Caenorhabditis elegans: one gene and its partners. The protein of the gene in region 1 interacts with the protein of each later gene in a pairwise test. Each region holds a gene or a part of one and is shown on either strand. Other genes may lie near its edges.

Region 1 (5,747 bases):
GACACCACTATTTTCAAACTAAATAAATACCACGATAATTATATATTTTGCAAAAATTGTTCAAAAAGTATCAAGTTTTCTCGTTCTTGGCATATTTCATGCAATTTGTAATTCTTTTTGTCTCAGTTATGTCATAACTTTTTCTAAAAATCCTAAGTTATTCTAGATTATTTGGGAGCAAACATTTTTAGAAATTCCCAAAGTAGATTAACAAAGAAAATTCAAATATAAATCTACTGGACATTCAAAGAAAAGCACTTAGACAATTTGAATCGAATTCCTCAAATTCTTGAACTATTTTTTAGAGGATTTCAATTGGACAGAAAGAATCTCAAGCACTTAACGTCGGCGGAAATAGTTTTTTTTTTTCAAAAAGAGACCACCGCCTTTGCTAGAAACGAAAATTGCATGCGTTCCATTAAATAATTCAATTCATCGTTATCACCATCCTTCGTCGTCGTCGTTATCGTCAGAAACAGATAGGGATGGGTCGATACAAAAAGAAAGTGGACAGTTCTTTTCTCTCACTCTTTTTCTCTTTTACAAATCACACTTGTTTCGTCTCACACACGCTCACTTCTTGTCTCTTCTCCCAACAGTCGTCGCAAAACCGTCAAAAGCGTAGCGGCTGTCGCGTCGCGGTCGTTCGTGTCTATGCATCACCGTTTCTAGTGCTCTCTAATTGTCCCGCCGTAGCAGTAGCAGCAGTAGCAGCGGCATGGTGGGGACCGCACTCCTTTATCTTTTACTCTTACTTTGTGTGTGTGTATGGGGGGTGCGAGAGAAAGAGATAAAAAAGAAAGAAAGAGAGAGTGTGTGGTTTCTGTGCTTCTGTGCACTCCAGAGCCTCGGATTTCTTTTCCTATGAACTTCATTTCTCGTCTCCATCATCAGAAGGAAGAAGAATTCTTCAGAATCTTGCACTTGAAGCGTTTTCTGCCTATTTATTTTCTCCTCCCGAGTTCATCTCTCTATTCGTCTTTAGCTTAATCCATTTTATTAGGCACGCACCCGCTCCTTGGTTCAACCAAATGAGAAGATAGAAAAGATGGAGCAACGCATCCCAAATTGTGTGATAGGATTAAAGTAGTGTGGAAGAAAAAAAAATGCAGAGTGAGAGAAGGGGCAGTCTTCTTTTCCGGTCTTACTAATCCTAACGTCTTCTTTTTCCTTCCTATCTCTCATCTCTCAACTTCTGAAATAGTTGAGATGAGTGATTTCGTAAGTTCATTATTCTTTTTTGTCAGTTTTTGCTTATAGTTCCTACGGGAATCATTGTTTCTTAAACATGCTACTTCTTTAAACAATTTATATTTAACAAAGTAAAATTGAACGTTTTTTTAAAAACTTTCTAACTGAATTTCGTAAATTTATTTGTTTCCTTGTGAAAAATGCTTGTCAGGAAAACTTTACTTCTCTACGTCTCAATCTCTGCAATCTTTTAACGAGAGATCGGAGAATTTTGTATTGGAAAAGTGAAAAAGAAAAATGAAAGAGACCCACTCGACACTGAGGGCGACCGAAAAGAAACCGACGAAAAAAAACGACGATTCGAGCCATTTGTCAGCGACAATAAGTGGTCGGGTCGCACCACTGTCCGCCGTCTCACCGATTTTAACATTATATTGTCCCCCTTTTTCTTCATCGCTTTGAAATCAATTTTTGATGAAGTGAAGACCTTTTTTCTCCTGGTTTTTTTTTTAATAATTGCATTACCCCATTTTTTAAAGTTCAAAATTACTCAAACTATTTGAATTCTTCTTTTTTTCAAATTGTAATGACTCATTCTCCGTCGTCTTCAAATAGTTACTCATTCCGACTCACCACCTAGTTTATTAACAGGAAAGTTCATTCTTTTTCTATCTTCTCAATTATTCTCAAGTAGTCATCATCGGTTTTTTATTTCTTTCCTGGTAGTTACTCTCCTTTATCGAAACTTTTTTTTGAAAAAAAAAAGAAACGGAATTCTGAGTATGCCGATAGGCAGAGCTGCTCTTTGGCAGTGCTCCCACAGAAATCCTTCTCCACTTCGTTTTCTCATTTCCATCTCTATTTTACATTTTTCCATATTCAACTATGCGTCTTTTTTCAGAAAAGGGTAATGACGGAGTACAAGCTTGTGGTAGTTGGAGATGGAGGAGTTGGTAAATCAGCACTCACCATTCAACTCATCCAGAATCACTTTGTCGAAGAATACGACCCGACCATAGAGGACAGCTACAGAAAGCAGGTGAGAAATCATTGGGAACATCCGCTACACACATGTGGTGGGAGCAAATTGAACGAAAATGATGGCATTTGAAATTGAACAAAAAAACGATGAGTCAGAAGTTTGGAAGTTTTTTGAAACACATCGAGCTGTTTAATTGATTCCAAAGACGAATAAATCGTGCTGAAACACGAAAAATTCCGAAATTTTCGAAAAAAAACCAATTTTTCGTGTTTTGGACACGACATTATAAAATGGCTGGAACTGAAAAAAATGGCTCGAATCATGATTTTTCATTGTCCCCCGAAAATTCTCACAAAAAAAAATTGGAAAACCGAAAATTTTAGTTTTTGCAAAAACCGGAAAAATTCTGAAAACACTCCAAAATCGATATTTCTCAGACGAATTTCAATAATTACATTCCGTTTTACGTTTTATACAAAAAACAGAAATTTCACTTTTTTTTTGAGAAAGGGCCCAAAACTTTTTTTTAGATTTTTTGTTTTTTTAAAGCAAATCGATAAACCAGCATGCCTGCTCGTGTCGTGTGAGGAGTATAAATTTTTTTAAACGTATATTCATCTTTAAACTCTGAAATTCAGAATATTATTGAGCCCTAATTTTCAGTGTTTTCATTTGAGTTTTTAACCAGTAAAAATAGTTTTTCAGTTTTAAAAATTGCTCCGAGAGCTAGTTTTTAAATATTCTAATTTCAGGTTGTGATAGACGGTGAGACATGCCTCCTCGACATATTGGATACCGCCGGACAAGAAGAATATTCGGCGATGCGTGATCAGTACATGAGGACAGGCGAAGGATTTCTGTTGGTTTTCGCCGTCAACGAGGCTAAATCTTTCGAGAATGTCGCTAACTACCGCGAGCAGATTCGGAGGGTAAAGGATTCAGATGATGTGAGTTTTTTTTGTTGAAATTATCAGTCAATGGTTGAATATTTGTATTTCTTCTAGGTTCCTATGGTCTTGGTAGGGAATAAATGTGATTTGTCATCTCGATCAGTCGACTTCCGAACAGTCAGTGAGACAGCAAAGGGTTACGGTATTCCGAATGTCGACACATCTGCCAAAACGCGTATGGGAGTTGATGAAGCATTTTACACACTTGTTAGAGAAATTCGCAAGGTAATTTTTTAGTTAAAAATTTAAATTAAAAATAATGTTTTTAATGTACAATTAAGGTACAAATTCAGTCATTATTATATGAAAATTGAAAGACGCGAGATTTTGATATTTTCGCGCCAAAAATACGACACCCGGTCTGTTCGATTTGCTCCTTCAAATATTATGGTAACTTTATACTGTCGTTACAGCGGAATTTTCATCAATTTTTTTAAGTTTTCGATATTATAAAAATATTTAAAAACACAGCAGTTTTAATAAATCGGTGAAAATTACCCCAGAAACGAAATATTAAAGTTACTGTATTCTTTAAAGGCGCACATACGTTTGCATTTAACACAAATTCATCGTGTCGAGACCGGGCACCGCATCTTTAATTTGAAAATCGCCAAATGTTGCATTTGAGTAATACAAAAACGTTGTTTTTAAAAATTTTCTGTTTTGTAAAGCTCTAAAATGTTATTATTGTTATCAACAGTTTCAAGTTTCCATTTTTCACTAAAAACGAAAAATGTAAGTTTTTCCGATATTTCGAAACAAAAGCTCAAAGTTTTGGTCATTTTCTTAATTTTTAAAGAAAATTATATGTTTTCTTTTGTTTTTTTTCTCACCAGCATGCACAAAATCTGATAAAAAATTGAGTTTTATTGTTAATTTTCTAAAAAAAATTTTGATGACACCCTAGATTGATATCCGAAAGATTTAATAATGTTTTCTTTTTATTTCAGCATCGTGAGCGTCACGACAATAATAAGCCACAAAAGAAGAAGAAGTGTCAAATAATGTGATTCAGCGTCGGGAATTGCCCAATTTCGCCAACTCATTTTCAGTCGTGTCAACTCCCACCCAATTATCCTTTCTCGTACTTTTTTGGTACATTTTCATTATTCATTTATCTGTTTTATCTGAAACTTGTGATCGATCCTCTTCCGCCTCTACATACTCTTCGAATTTCCACCTTTTTTTCTCTATGCATCGATTGAACTTGTTCTCTCGTCTGCTCGTCATTATTTTTTCTCCTTTTTTTTCTTCATCCTTCATTCTAATTCCTCATCTTTCGCTTAGCCCAAATCTCCATTCATTCATAGGTGTCAAAACTAGCTGTAGTGTGTGATCCATATCTAAAACATGCATCCGAACCCCCTCCTCGTTCCAAAATTGGCCAACTCTACCAAAAAAAACATCGCACCATTTTTTTTTCACTTTCTCTGCATATTTTCAGAATGTTTGTATTGCTTTTTTGATGCTTTATTCCCCTTCCTCGTTTTCATACAAATTATTGGCCTCATCTATTTTCAGAAGTTCTCTGAAAATTAAATTCTTTTGCATCTGCCGGTCGTTCCGTTTATTTTTTCTCTGTTTCCTCTCATTTTTGTCAAGTAATTATTTCTCTTTCATTAACTATAATATAGATACAATTAGACCCCATTTCTCATACATTTTCTGAACATCTGAAAGTTTTTGCTCCCTCGTATTGCATTCATTTTTCTCTATTCCTCTACATTTTATAGTCCTATCTGAATATAATATTCCTATTCTTTTGATCAAGTTTTTATTATTATTTTATTTTCAAGGAAGTATTGCAATGATATAAATTTTAAAAAGCTAATATTATTTTTTTAAATCTATTCAACTATATTTTGTTAATTTCAGTGTTATATTTTGACCTCGCCATCGGAGCATGATTTTAAAAAAAACTAAATTTAATTTATTAGAATGACGAGAAAAAGGAAAAATGTAGAGTCTGATGAGAATCCTCCAGCGAAAAACTCATTTGAAGGATACGGATATGCTGCTGCTGATGCTGAGAAGAAGCCACAGGAGGAGAGAAACAATTTCAGAACTTTTCTAGCCAAAAATGAACGATTTGGAAGTGGAAATCGAGGTGGAGGAGGTCGTGGAAGAGGAGGAGATGGTGGATTTAGAAGAAATGATAGAGGTGGACGTGGTGGTGGTGGAAGAGGATTCGGTGGTAACAGAGAATTCAGTGCCGGAGATTTTGAGAAGGTTTGTGTCAGATGGTGTCGTGAGTGATGTAGCGTCTCTGGCTTTTTAAACTCAAAATTACAGAAAAAGTTTCGATATGTCGAGTTAAAAACATTTCTAAAATTTGTATTATTTTGCAAAAAATAAAAAAAAGCCGAATTATTTTTGAATTTTTTAGTCATTTTCCTGGACAAAAATTGTTCAAAATGTGGAATTATAGGTTTTAGACCAATTTCATTTTATCGAATTTCGTTCGGATTTTCGAGGTTTCTTTCCGAAAAACTGTCTGAAAAAATGAGCGCGGGAATTCACAAATATTTCAGTATTTTTTTGAAATTGAATTTTAAAAAATTTATATTCGATATATTGAGACTTTTTTCTGTGAAGAATCGATAAAATGAACTCCAAAGCGCTCC
Region 2 (5,048 bases), on another chromosome or scaffold:
TTTACGAACCCCTTTTATACTTTTTCAACTATTATTTATAAAACATTCCCGTATTTAATTTCAAATAAAAAATTCTCCAATTGACGCACATCTTTCTACATTTCGCTTGAATAATTCAGGAGATGTACCCGTTTTTTCTCAGAATTCCAAATTTCCAATTGTTTGTTTTTTTGCACAAATAAAGCGCAAGAATATACACTTATTCGTTAAAAATTTAATGAAATTAGAAAAAATCGAAAAAAGTGTTTTTTCAAAATTTTTTTTCCACAGTATTTTCTTTTTTTAAAAGTTGTCATAAAATCCCAGAAAACACTAATTTGATCAATTTTACCAAAAAAATCCGAAAAAAAAACTCACTGAATATAAAAAATGCGTCCATTGTCCAGAACACACAGGTCACACTCCTCAACCAGGCTTGGGTTCATCGAGTGGTACTGTACTTGGTCGGATATTGCGTCTTCTAAAATAAATATCATAGGATTGGAAAATTTATTAAAAAAGAGTTAAAATCATGATTTTTGGTGGAAAAATGAAGAAAATCGGATGAAAATGAACCAAGTTACGAAAAATTTGAGGAAAATTTGAAATTTTTAGATTTTCCCAAAAAATTTTTTCAGATTTTTTTAGTGTTAATAGTCTAACTTTAAAATTCGAGTTCCTTACATTAGGACCTTTCAAATGGCCCCCATCATGCCTAGGTTCCGCACACTTTGGGTCCCACCACGAAAACTACGGTACCTTTGAGTTTTCGCGCCGGGGCCCAAAAAGGGGCGGATCCTAGGCATGATGGGGGTCATTTTTAAGGTCTTGGCAAAACTAGGAATGAACAGTAAGTAGGAGCATAATTTCAAAAATCGTTGTCTGAAAACTTTGAATTTTCTTTTAAAAAACCTAGTTTTTCGAATATTTTCGAAAATTGATAAATTTGTCACTTTTTATTATTTTTTGACGATTATTGGCTCAAAATGTGGGAAATTTTTCCAAATTAACAAAAAAAATTAGAAGTCCTAAAATTTAATTTGGGTGCAGTAACCCGGAAGTTTTCGCGGCGAGACCCAGGAATTTTGAAATTTGGGTTAGAATGGTCTAATTTTCTTGCAAAAAAAAAGAATTTTGCCAATTTTTTTTATAAAAAATATATTGTCCAGGTTTACTTAGAACTCACAAAACTTGAAATTTGAAATATTTTCAAAAGAAAACATTTTTTCGAGTTTTATTTTCATGTATTTATTTTTCACTCCTAAACCTACAAAAAAGAGCAGTTAAAGCTTCCAGAAAGCTTAAGCTCACGAAAATGAAAGTGAGAGCAAAAAGATGGGAATGTGTGGAAATAAAGATCACACGAGCAAAAAAAAAAACGAAGTAATGTGAGTGCAGAAAATGGGAATACGGCGCCTCGGGCGCCGTTTTTTTTCAGAATTTTTTATTAGAAAAGTAGTTTATAAAGTTTATGGATCAAGCTTTGCAGATTCTGGTGTTCAAAAATTATAAAAATTCAAATTTTTAGAAAATTTTGGAAAAAAAATTTAAATTCTAAAAAATTGTTTGCTTCAATATATAGTCCTTAAAATTTCCTATATTTTGGTAGTTGGAAATTTTTTAATAGTACGTTCCTCCGCAGAGATACAAGCGTTTGAAGTTTAGAGGGGAAAAGAGTGTGGGAGGGGGAGAGACGCAGGCGGCGCGCGCACACACGGCGTCTCGCCTCCCCTCACACTCTCTCATCGTCTGATTTTCAAACGCGTATATCTCCGCGGGGGAAAGCGCTAATGAAAAGTTTTTGACTAACAAAATATAGGAAATTTTATGGGCTATATTTTGACAGCCAAAACAATTTTGCTAGATCATTTGGGTCTTGAGAAAATCAGTTTTTCTTCAAGAATGGCTAGAAAAGTACAAAATTTGATTTTAAAAAAGTGTGAGCTGGTTCAAACTGGTGAAAATTTGAACATTTTTCAACTGTAAAAGTTGTCAAATATATTTAATCTGAATTGAAACCTGGTGTTAGTATAAAAATAAACAACATTTCGTATAGTTTGGGGATTTCCACAGATTATGTCTACCGATGGTCTTGTACCGGAAAAACAAAAAATATAGTGATGTTACACAAAAATATTGTGAACTTAATAATAATTATAATAAGAATTTAGAGAGGAAAAAAGGAAAAATTGGAAATCGGTCACTGAACTTGATATTGATGATCTATAGAATATCATCAATGATGAGATTTGATAACAGTTTTGATAAGGGTTCAGATGTACCAAAACACTGCAAAAACTGATACATTTTGATATGGGGAAAATTGGAAAATTTTTGAAAAAAAACAATTTTGAATTAAAAAGAAAAAATTTTTTTTCTTCGAAATTTAGAAATTTCATTTTTTGTTGTTGTTGCAAACTCGAAATAATTGAGTTGAAACTTAAATTTTCAAATTTTTCGTTCCAAGATCTTCAAAATGACCCCCATCATGCCTAGGATCCGCCCCTTTTTGGGCCCCGGCGCGAAAACTCAAAGGTACCGTAGTTTTCGTGGTGGGACCCAAAGTGTGCGGAACCTAGGCATGATGGGGGCCATTTGAAAGGTCCTAATGTAAGGAACTCGAATTTTAAAGTTAGACTATTAGAAGATCTTCAAAATGACCCCCATCATGCCTAGGTTCCGCCCACTTTGGGTCCCACAACGAAAACTACAGTACCCCAATTTCGCTGTGAGACCCAAAATAGGCGGAGCCTAGTCATGATGGGGGTCATTTTGACGGTTTCAAAAAGATCAAATTCATAAAATCGGTCGGAAGTGAATTTGAACATTAGTTTTATGAAAATTTTAAGTTTTCCAAAAAAAAAAATTTCGAAATTTTCGACTTTTTCGAAAACCGCTAACTTTGTCAATTTTTATTACTTTTTGATGGTTTTTTGTTCAAAATGTAGCAGAAGTTGCAATTTAACAAAAGAAAATAATAAACTTTAAAAGTATTGTTCTGGTACAGTAACCCAGAGATTTTCGCGGTGAGACCCCAAAATTTTCATATTTGGCTTAAAATGCCCCATTTTTCTCCGATTGTTCTCAAATTTTCAAATTTACCGCCACAAAAAAATAAGCTCACCGTCATCTAGAGTAGTCGAAAAGGTAACCCTCTCTTCCTGTGTATCATTTGAACCATGCCGGAGTATTTGAGCACTGGAGCCATCCGATGATGAAGTGGTCTCCAGGTCACCCATATTTTGGCTGAAATTGGGGGAATTGTAGAAAAGTGGAGTGGAATTAAAAAAAAAAAAGGAATAGAAAGAAGGTTAGGAAAAAATTATGGATGCAAAAAAATTTCTGATAAAAAAATTGCAAAAAAAAGTTTGTAAAAATGTTTTTAAAAAAAAATGTTTTTTTTCAAATTTTCAAAACCTTAAAATTTTTAAAAATCTTAGTAAATTTGAATTTTTAGGTATATCTACCAAAATTTTTTAAATGCGGAAAAGTTTTAGGGTTTACAGAAAAAAAATCATAAAAACAAACAAAAAATTATAGAAATCACAGGAAAAAATCTGAAATTTTCCGGGTTTTAAGCTGCAAAATAATTAAACAATTGATATAAAAACTACGGAATTAAATTAGAACAACTAAATAAAAAAAATAGAATAGAGATTTTCTGAAAAAAAATTTTTTTTTGGATTTTTTTTTGGATTTTTTTTTGACTTTACAAAGAACTTTGGATTATATTTTTTTAATTTTTTTATACATTTTTTTCAATTTATACACTTATATGTTTAATTTTGCATAAATCAATAGAACAACATTTTTTAAGAATGGTAAAAAATTTTGGATTTTTTTTTTTGAAAATTCCAAAAAAAATTTTTGGATTCTTTTTTTTGCAAAATTCCAAAAAAATTGGAATTTTTTTGGAATTTGTAAATTTTGTGATAATTTTAAGGTTAATAAGTTCTCTAATTTAAAATTAACGCTCAAATTATCACCATAAAAATTGGAAAAAATCCTGAATGAAAGTATTTAATTTTGAAAAAAAAAATTGTTTTCGACTTTTTATTTTGGAATTTAAAAAAATTAAATTATTAATTTTTTTCAATTTATAATATTCACAATAGTTACCTTTATTAATAAAACAACAATAGAAAACAGGAATAAATCTGAATAAAGTTTTTTCTGAAATATTTTCTCTCTGAATTTATTATTTTAAAAATTATTTTTTAAAACAAAATTTATAAAATGTATAAATTTAATAGAGTTAGAAGCAATAAATTGACGAAAAATCGTGAAAATTCAAAAAAAAATTTAGACCGAAAATATTTATGAAAATTAGATTACAAATTTTTTAGAATATTTCAGAATAAAAATTAAAAAACCAAATTTTTTCAACAAAAAATTCCAGAATGTCAAATAAGGAATGTGTTCCATCAAACAAAGTAGAAAAAAACAGCTCAAAACAAAAAAGGACCTGTCTTCCACTGTCTGCGTCTCTCTCACTCTCTCCCTCCCTCACTTAGTTAATCAGACATCCCAAACTCGGGAGGCGTCCAAAGAAAACGAAGACGGCAGCAGTGTGAGCTATTCAGAAGAAATCCTCTGCGTCTCTCGCCTCACCACACACTCTCTCGCCGCTTCTAACCCTCTCTGTCTCCCCGGCTCGCGGAGCCAAACCCAACGGAGCACAAAAGATGCATTGGAAGAATGGAGGAAAGGACAGGATGAAGAAGAAGAAGTAAAGTTACTCTTACTTCTTTGGATTTTTCAAGAAACACGTGTAACGGAACAATAGAGGGCACCTGCATAGCTAACAATTTGCGTCATTACTTTTGCTATTGTTGGCGAGAGGTCAAAGAAAAACTTGCATTCCTCAAAAATCAAAAAAGCTACTCAAAAATTTACAACTGGCAAAGTATCGACCTTGAAATTTGCTATATTTTAATAGTTAAAAGTTTTTTGATAGCTCTTACCCCCGCAGAGATACAAGCGTTTAAAGAAAGTGTGTGCAAGAGAGTGTGGAGGGAGGGGAGACGCAGTGTGCGCACGCCGTCTGCGTCTACCCTCCCTCCACACTC
Region 3 (5,277 bases), on another chromosome or scaffold:
TTCATTTAGTCATTCAGTCAGTCATCATACAAAACGATTACATACATTTCTGGAAACAGTTATGCATGATGTCTCAAGAACATTATCCGAACGGCTGACAAGATCAGATCATGGAACAGTCTAATGGTGTGTATGTATGTGCGTGCAAAGTTTTCAACAAACCTGTCGTCGTCGGAACACCAAATCTCACTGACGCACGAACATTATTTTTTTTTGTGTGTGTCACAAAGAAACGTTTCATTGGTTTTGGCGAGGAGACTTTGTGGTGGTGGTGGTAGTAGTAGCGGGAAATACGAAAATGAAAATTAGAATTAGCATTAGCGAGGAGAACTGCCTCTCTCGTGTAATTTATATCGATAGTGACAGATGATTGAGTTGAACTAAATGACAAGAAGAGAAACGAGGAAGAGGAACAGGACAGATAATGATGAAAAGTGGAGCAAGAATCAAAACATATACAAAGTGCTCTAGAAATTGTAAAAGCCCACATGATGAATAAAAGCTGTCCAACATATATGGGTGGTTGAAATGGTAAAAGTGCACCTTTAATCTAGGTCAACAAGCAGTAAAACCAGTAATCCAGCTGTTCATAAACCTCCTTCTGTACAACCGAACGAGTAGAATTGTGAAAAAGCGTGACAAAATCACCCACCTGGTACGGAATATCTGGCACCAAGAATGAATTCAAAATCACAGATGTGAAACGTAAACAGATGTGTTGATGTGCTTGGTGAAAAATATTCTAGCTGACGGGAAAAGTAAAGAGATATGCAACGGAAGAAAGCTAATATAAAAAACAATTGAAAAGTAGGAAGAAAAAATGGGAAGAATAAGAATAAGAAGAAGAATAACGTACTTACCGTCATGATAATATAGAGTTGTTGAATAGATGACGAGCGCATCTTGGCAGACGGTGAATAACCGGCAGATGACAAAAAGCGGGCAAAAGTACGTGTCGTCATGGTATTTGTTTGTTACTCTAAGTGTTCGGATAGAAAAGATGGCTTTATGACGGTCGCCCTCGATTCCGAAGAGGTTATTGTGAGGGAGTGAGGTATGGGGAGTTCTAGATGTCGCTTCGTTTCACTTCGCCTTCTTCTCCGCCAATTCCTTTTCCGAATTGAAACCGATGAGATTTACTGTTGGCGGCGGCGGCGGCGGCTGCCCGACAGTTGACGGAGGACACGGGGGGCCCAGAATTGGAAATGGAGAGGAAGACCTCGGTTGTGAGTGGGGGCGAAAATAGTTAGAAGTACGCGTTACCCAGCCACCTTTTTTCCAACGTCTAACATCTGCTACAAACGTTACAATCTCTCGATTTCTTGCCTTCCTTCGCTCCTTCTTCTGCCTCCTTCTCATTCGATATCAAAATGGCAAATAGAAAGTGATAAGACGGATCGTATTCAAGCGGAAAAGAGAGAGAGACCGACTGAAATAAGAGCGAAAGAGAGAGAGAAAACGAGGCTTTGCCAAAGCAAAAACAAGACGTAATGAGGATAGACACATTTTTTGGTGTTGGAAGGACAGATAACGCGCTCCGGCGGAGTGTATTATCTGATTTAAAAAATGAATTAGGAGAAAGCAACACATATGTTGATAATTTTTTTTTGGAACAATAAGAGCATTGTTTGGGAAAGGCGCTTTCCGGTGGACACCCAAAAGTTACTGATTGCGCAATGAGTCATATAGTTGGTCGAAAAAAAACCGCGATAAGACCAACTTGCTCTGACATCAAGTACTGATAAATAAGATGCTACAATTGAACAAATATCTATATTGTAGGGATATATAATAAGTAAAGTTGATCTTACTGAATTAGTAACTTATTTAGCAATTAAAAAAAAAAAGCTAAAAAAGCTAACAAATAGTTTTCAATAAACTAGTTGTTATGTAAAATCTGCGCCGTTTTTATTAGGCAAATTTGAAAATTCAAAAGCATGTATTATTCTACCCTTTATTCAAAATTTTTTTAAAATCCAAAAACTAGTTAATTTGTCCAAGATTAAATGCAAATGCCTTAGTATTTTTTTAAATGCAAAACTAAATCAAAATACAATATATTCGTATGACTTAAAATATAAAAATTGGGTATTCCTAGAACTAGGTTAAACTTGAAAAAAAACAATTTTTTTGCTTTAAACTTACTTGAAAGCTCTATTTCCAGAGTTTTAATATTATCAAAAATCGCAAATTATCACTGGGAACTTTAAACAAATTCAGAAAAACAATTTTTTCATATCCAATTCCTCGAAAAAATGCTTACCGAGCTAATATAATGAGCAAATTTTGAGCATCTGTCTTCAAAATCAAGACTATAGGAATGAAGCCTAAGACTGCTCCAAACGTTCATCCTTTCGTAATTCTAGCAACGAAACTGGAGCTCAGTGGTCGCGTGTCAAATATTCGTCACTATGTTATATGTGGCAAATGTTTTATTTTCTATGGCCACAGGATTCACAAGCTTTTGCCATGTTTCAAAACTTTTTCTGAGTTTTCATGTGATTTTGAGAATTGTGAATAATACGTAGAATGTTCCAGAGTTCCAGAAATGTGAGAAGAATTCGCGAAGAACGGAAAAAAATAAGTGGCACTCAGCTTCATCTATAGGAAAAAGGGGAAAAGGAGGATTAACAAATTTTGGATCAATGCAAAATCACAGAAAGAAAAGTTTTACCAAATGACCAATTTTGTAATCACCCAATGCATAGCACTTTTGAAAATATTTTAGAAATACCTAAAAAGATTCTAAAAAGTTACCGTAAAAACGCTGGTTTTCCTGAGTCTCATATCTGCGGCAATGTTTAGGTTTGCAAAAACAATATGCGATAAGACAATCTGTGGGGGACAGGAAATAAGGTGATGTGGTCGGAAGACGGAAAAGGTATGAATGGGAAAAAGAACAATTCACCCCCCGTGAAATGGGTCGAGAAACTGTATCTTACAACCATCTGGACTACTTCGAAATGCAAGATTGTGATCACAAAGCATATACGTTCTTCCATTCCAATTTCATTTTATTGGGCCAAGCCTACTAGCGTCAAGAAAAATGTTTTTTGTGTGTGTGTGTATATATGTATGTAGTATTTTTCTTCCTGAAAAGCAGCAGTGAAATGTACATACCGGAACACCTTCGTATCCTTGTGGCGGCACATATCGAACCTTACGTAAATATACAGCATATATTGCGTCCGGGTGTTTTTCGTCACCCCAGTAACGCGTAGCCATTTAAGATTGGTCTGAGTTCTTCTGACGATGGTTTCTCTCACTGATCCTGTTGATTCTATTCAACCCGTCATGCCCTGAAAATATAGAAAATGTTGCAATTGAAGGAAGGTATTGAAAACTCAAAAAGAATTTGCAAAAGTTATAAACAAACTGCAAGTTTTGATAAACACATTCAGGAATCAGAAATTAAGTACTTAAACTGAAATAGGAAGCTTTTCGAGTTTGAATTAATTAAAAAACAGAAGGAAGGAAACAATAACTATTCAATGTGCAAGAAATTGAGTTAACAAATCTGTAATTATTTTTAAAAAATTTTCAATAGGAAATGTGAAACCCACAGTCAAAAAAAAATCGCTTGGAGAAATTACCCTATAGGAAAAACGTATTTTTCGTCAGGATGACAATTTTTGTATTAGAATAACAAAAAATGCGATTTTGGCTGTAAAAGTTGAACAATAAGGGGCAAAATTAATAGAGAAAATTCAGTATTTAAAAAAACGAAACCTTAAACCAATTTCTAAGACTAAAACAAAGCTAAACTGAACATCGAATGACAAAAGCCTCGTCTATATTCTGCCAAGCGTTTATATCTGACGGCATTATCTGTGTACACTGTGAATGGATGCGGAAGGAAATCTTCCCTTACAGTGACAAGATTTATTTTGTGAATCAAAACCAAAAGCCACTTTTACAACACATTGCCAATTTCTGAGACTTTCTTAACTGAGCAAACTATACTTGTATAGGTTTCTGAAATCATATGCTTAAGAAAAAAATTTTCTTTGAAATAAAAAAAATTATGTCACTGCTTGTGAGCAAAGGAAATAAAAAAATAAATGAAGTCTCTTCACAAAATTCAAGAATTTTCTCAGTTCAAAAGCGTTTATGTCGTTCTCAAAAGTACAGATTCTCGAACAGTTTTGGCTTTTCCAAAAGACACAAAAGGGAAACGAAGAAATGATAAATGGAATGTGATGACAAAGGTAAACGAATATGGAAATGAGAGGTAACGGTGCCGACCAAACGGAAAAAAATGAAACATCATCCGAAATGAGATTGGAAAAGAGATGCGGATTCTGGAACGACACAAAAAAAAACTCGGAAACTAATACTGCAGAGTTTCACAGAAAACGGAGAAATATTAAGGGTGTGGTAGTTTTTCGGAAAAGAGACTGGAAAACGGGGGCAAAAAAATGGTGACGAAAAGAATAATGAAGAAAAAAAACGAAAGATACAATAAGAGATGGGAAGAAAAATAACAATACTTCTTTACTTCTTGGAATCTAACAGTTTAATGAAAAGTTTAAAATTTTTTTAAACAAATCACTACAGTTATTTGATTTGAAAACATATAATCCAGAAAATATAACAAAAATCAACTGAACGTCATTATTTCCCATGGCGTCAATTTTCCCACAACGAGGAAAATGAAAGCTGTTTAAAAGTAAAAACAGGTTGAATACATCCCAAAAAGTACCGACGAGACGGCTAGAAAAACCTTTGATTTTGTTAGACGGTTGGAGAAAACAATATATGTAAAATTAGTTGAAAATGGATAGAGAGAATGTAGTAGCAGAAAAAAAATTGGGAGAAGATTGATTGAAAAAGGAAAAGACAGTGGAATGAGGTTGATGCAATGTAGGAAATTCATTCGCAAGGTCACCGTCCCGCTAGATACTACTTCGAACACGGCCGTTCGAATTGTGCCTTCCTGGATTTTGAAAAAAAATTATCTCTTGAAAAGTCGCAATTATTGGAAGATCAAAATTTTATATAAGAAAACGATAATCAAGCTGCTAGCAATGTTTTTTGGGTCCCGGAAATTAGTCTAGCGACAAGAAACCGAGATTAGCGACAATGATAATGTGAAGGAGTGGTGATAGAGATAATGAGACAGAATGAAACTGACAAGGCAACAGAATTAGTGGAAGAAAAAAACAAAGGCAAAGAAGATGGTGTAGAAATTAAAACAAGTTGGTGTCATGCAATTGTACTTATTATTTTTATACTATTCATTATCCGTATTAGTTTTTAGAGGGTCAACAATTATGG

What was found. The genes of interacting proteins can lie anywhere in the genome.
Region 2: the proteins of let-60 (region 1) and frm-8 interact in a two-hybrid assay, tested with the Caenorhabditis elegans proteins (3 studies listed by BioGRID).
Region 3: the proteins of let-60 (region 1) and rgl-1 interact in a two-hybrid assay, tested with the Caenorhabditis elegans proteins (3 studies listed by BioGRID).

What each region holds. Positions count from the first base shown.
Region 1 is NC_003282.8:11,687,432-11,693,178, reverse strand, and holds let-60 (Ras protein let-60), read left to right. Parts: upstream 1-2,090; 5' UTR 2,091-2,101; coding exon 2,102-2,230; intron 2,231-2,925; coding exon 2,926-3,120; intron 3,121-3,177; coding exon 3,178-3,348; intron 3,349-4,073; coding exon 4,074-4,133; 3' UTR 4,134-4,952; downstream 4,953-5,747. Other genes in the region: ZK792.5 (Nucleolar protein 9), read left to right, coding at 5,062-5,352. UniProt on the Caenorhabditis elegans protein: GTP-binding protein with GTPase activity. The level of let-60 controls the switch between vulval and hypodermal cell fates during C.elegans vulval induction. May stimulate the guanine nucleotide exchange factor (GEF) activity of rap-1.
Region 2 is NC_003281.10:3,215,926-3,220,973, forward strand, and holds the start of frm-8 (FERM and PDZ domain-containing protein 4), read right to left. Parts: upstream 3,226-5,048; 5' UTR 3,219-3,225; coding exon 3,104-3,218; intron 461-3,103; coding exon 358-460; intron 1-357.
Region 3 is NC_003284.9:3,217,069-3,222,345, forward strand, and holds the start of rgl-1 (Ral guanine nucleotide dissociation stimulator-like 1), read right to left. Parts: upstream 3,226-5,277; coding exon 3,121-3,225; intron 1-3,120.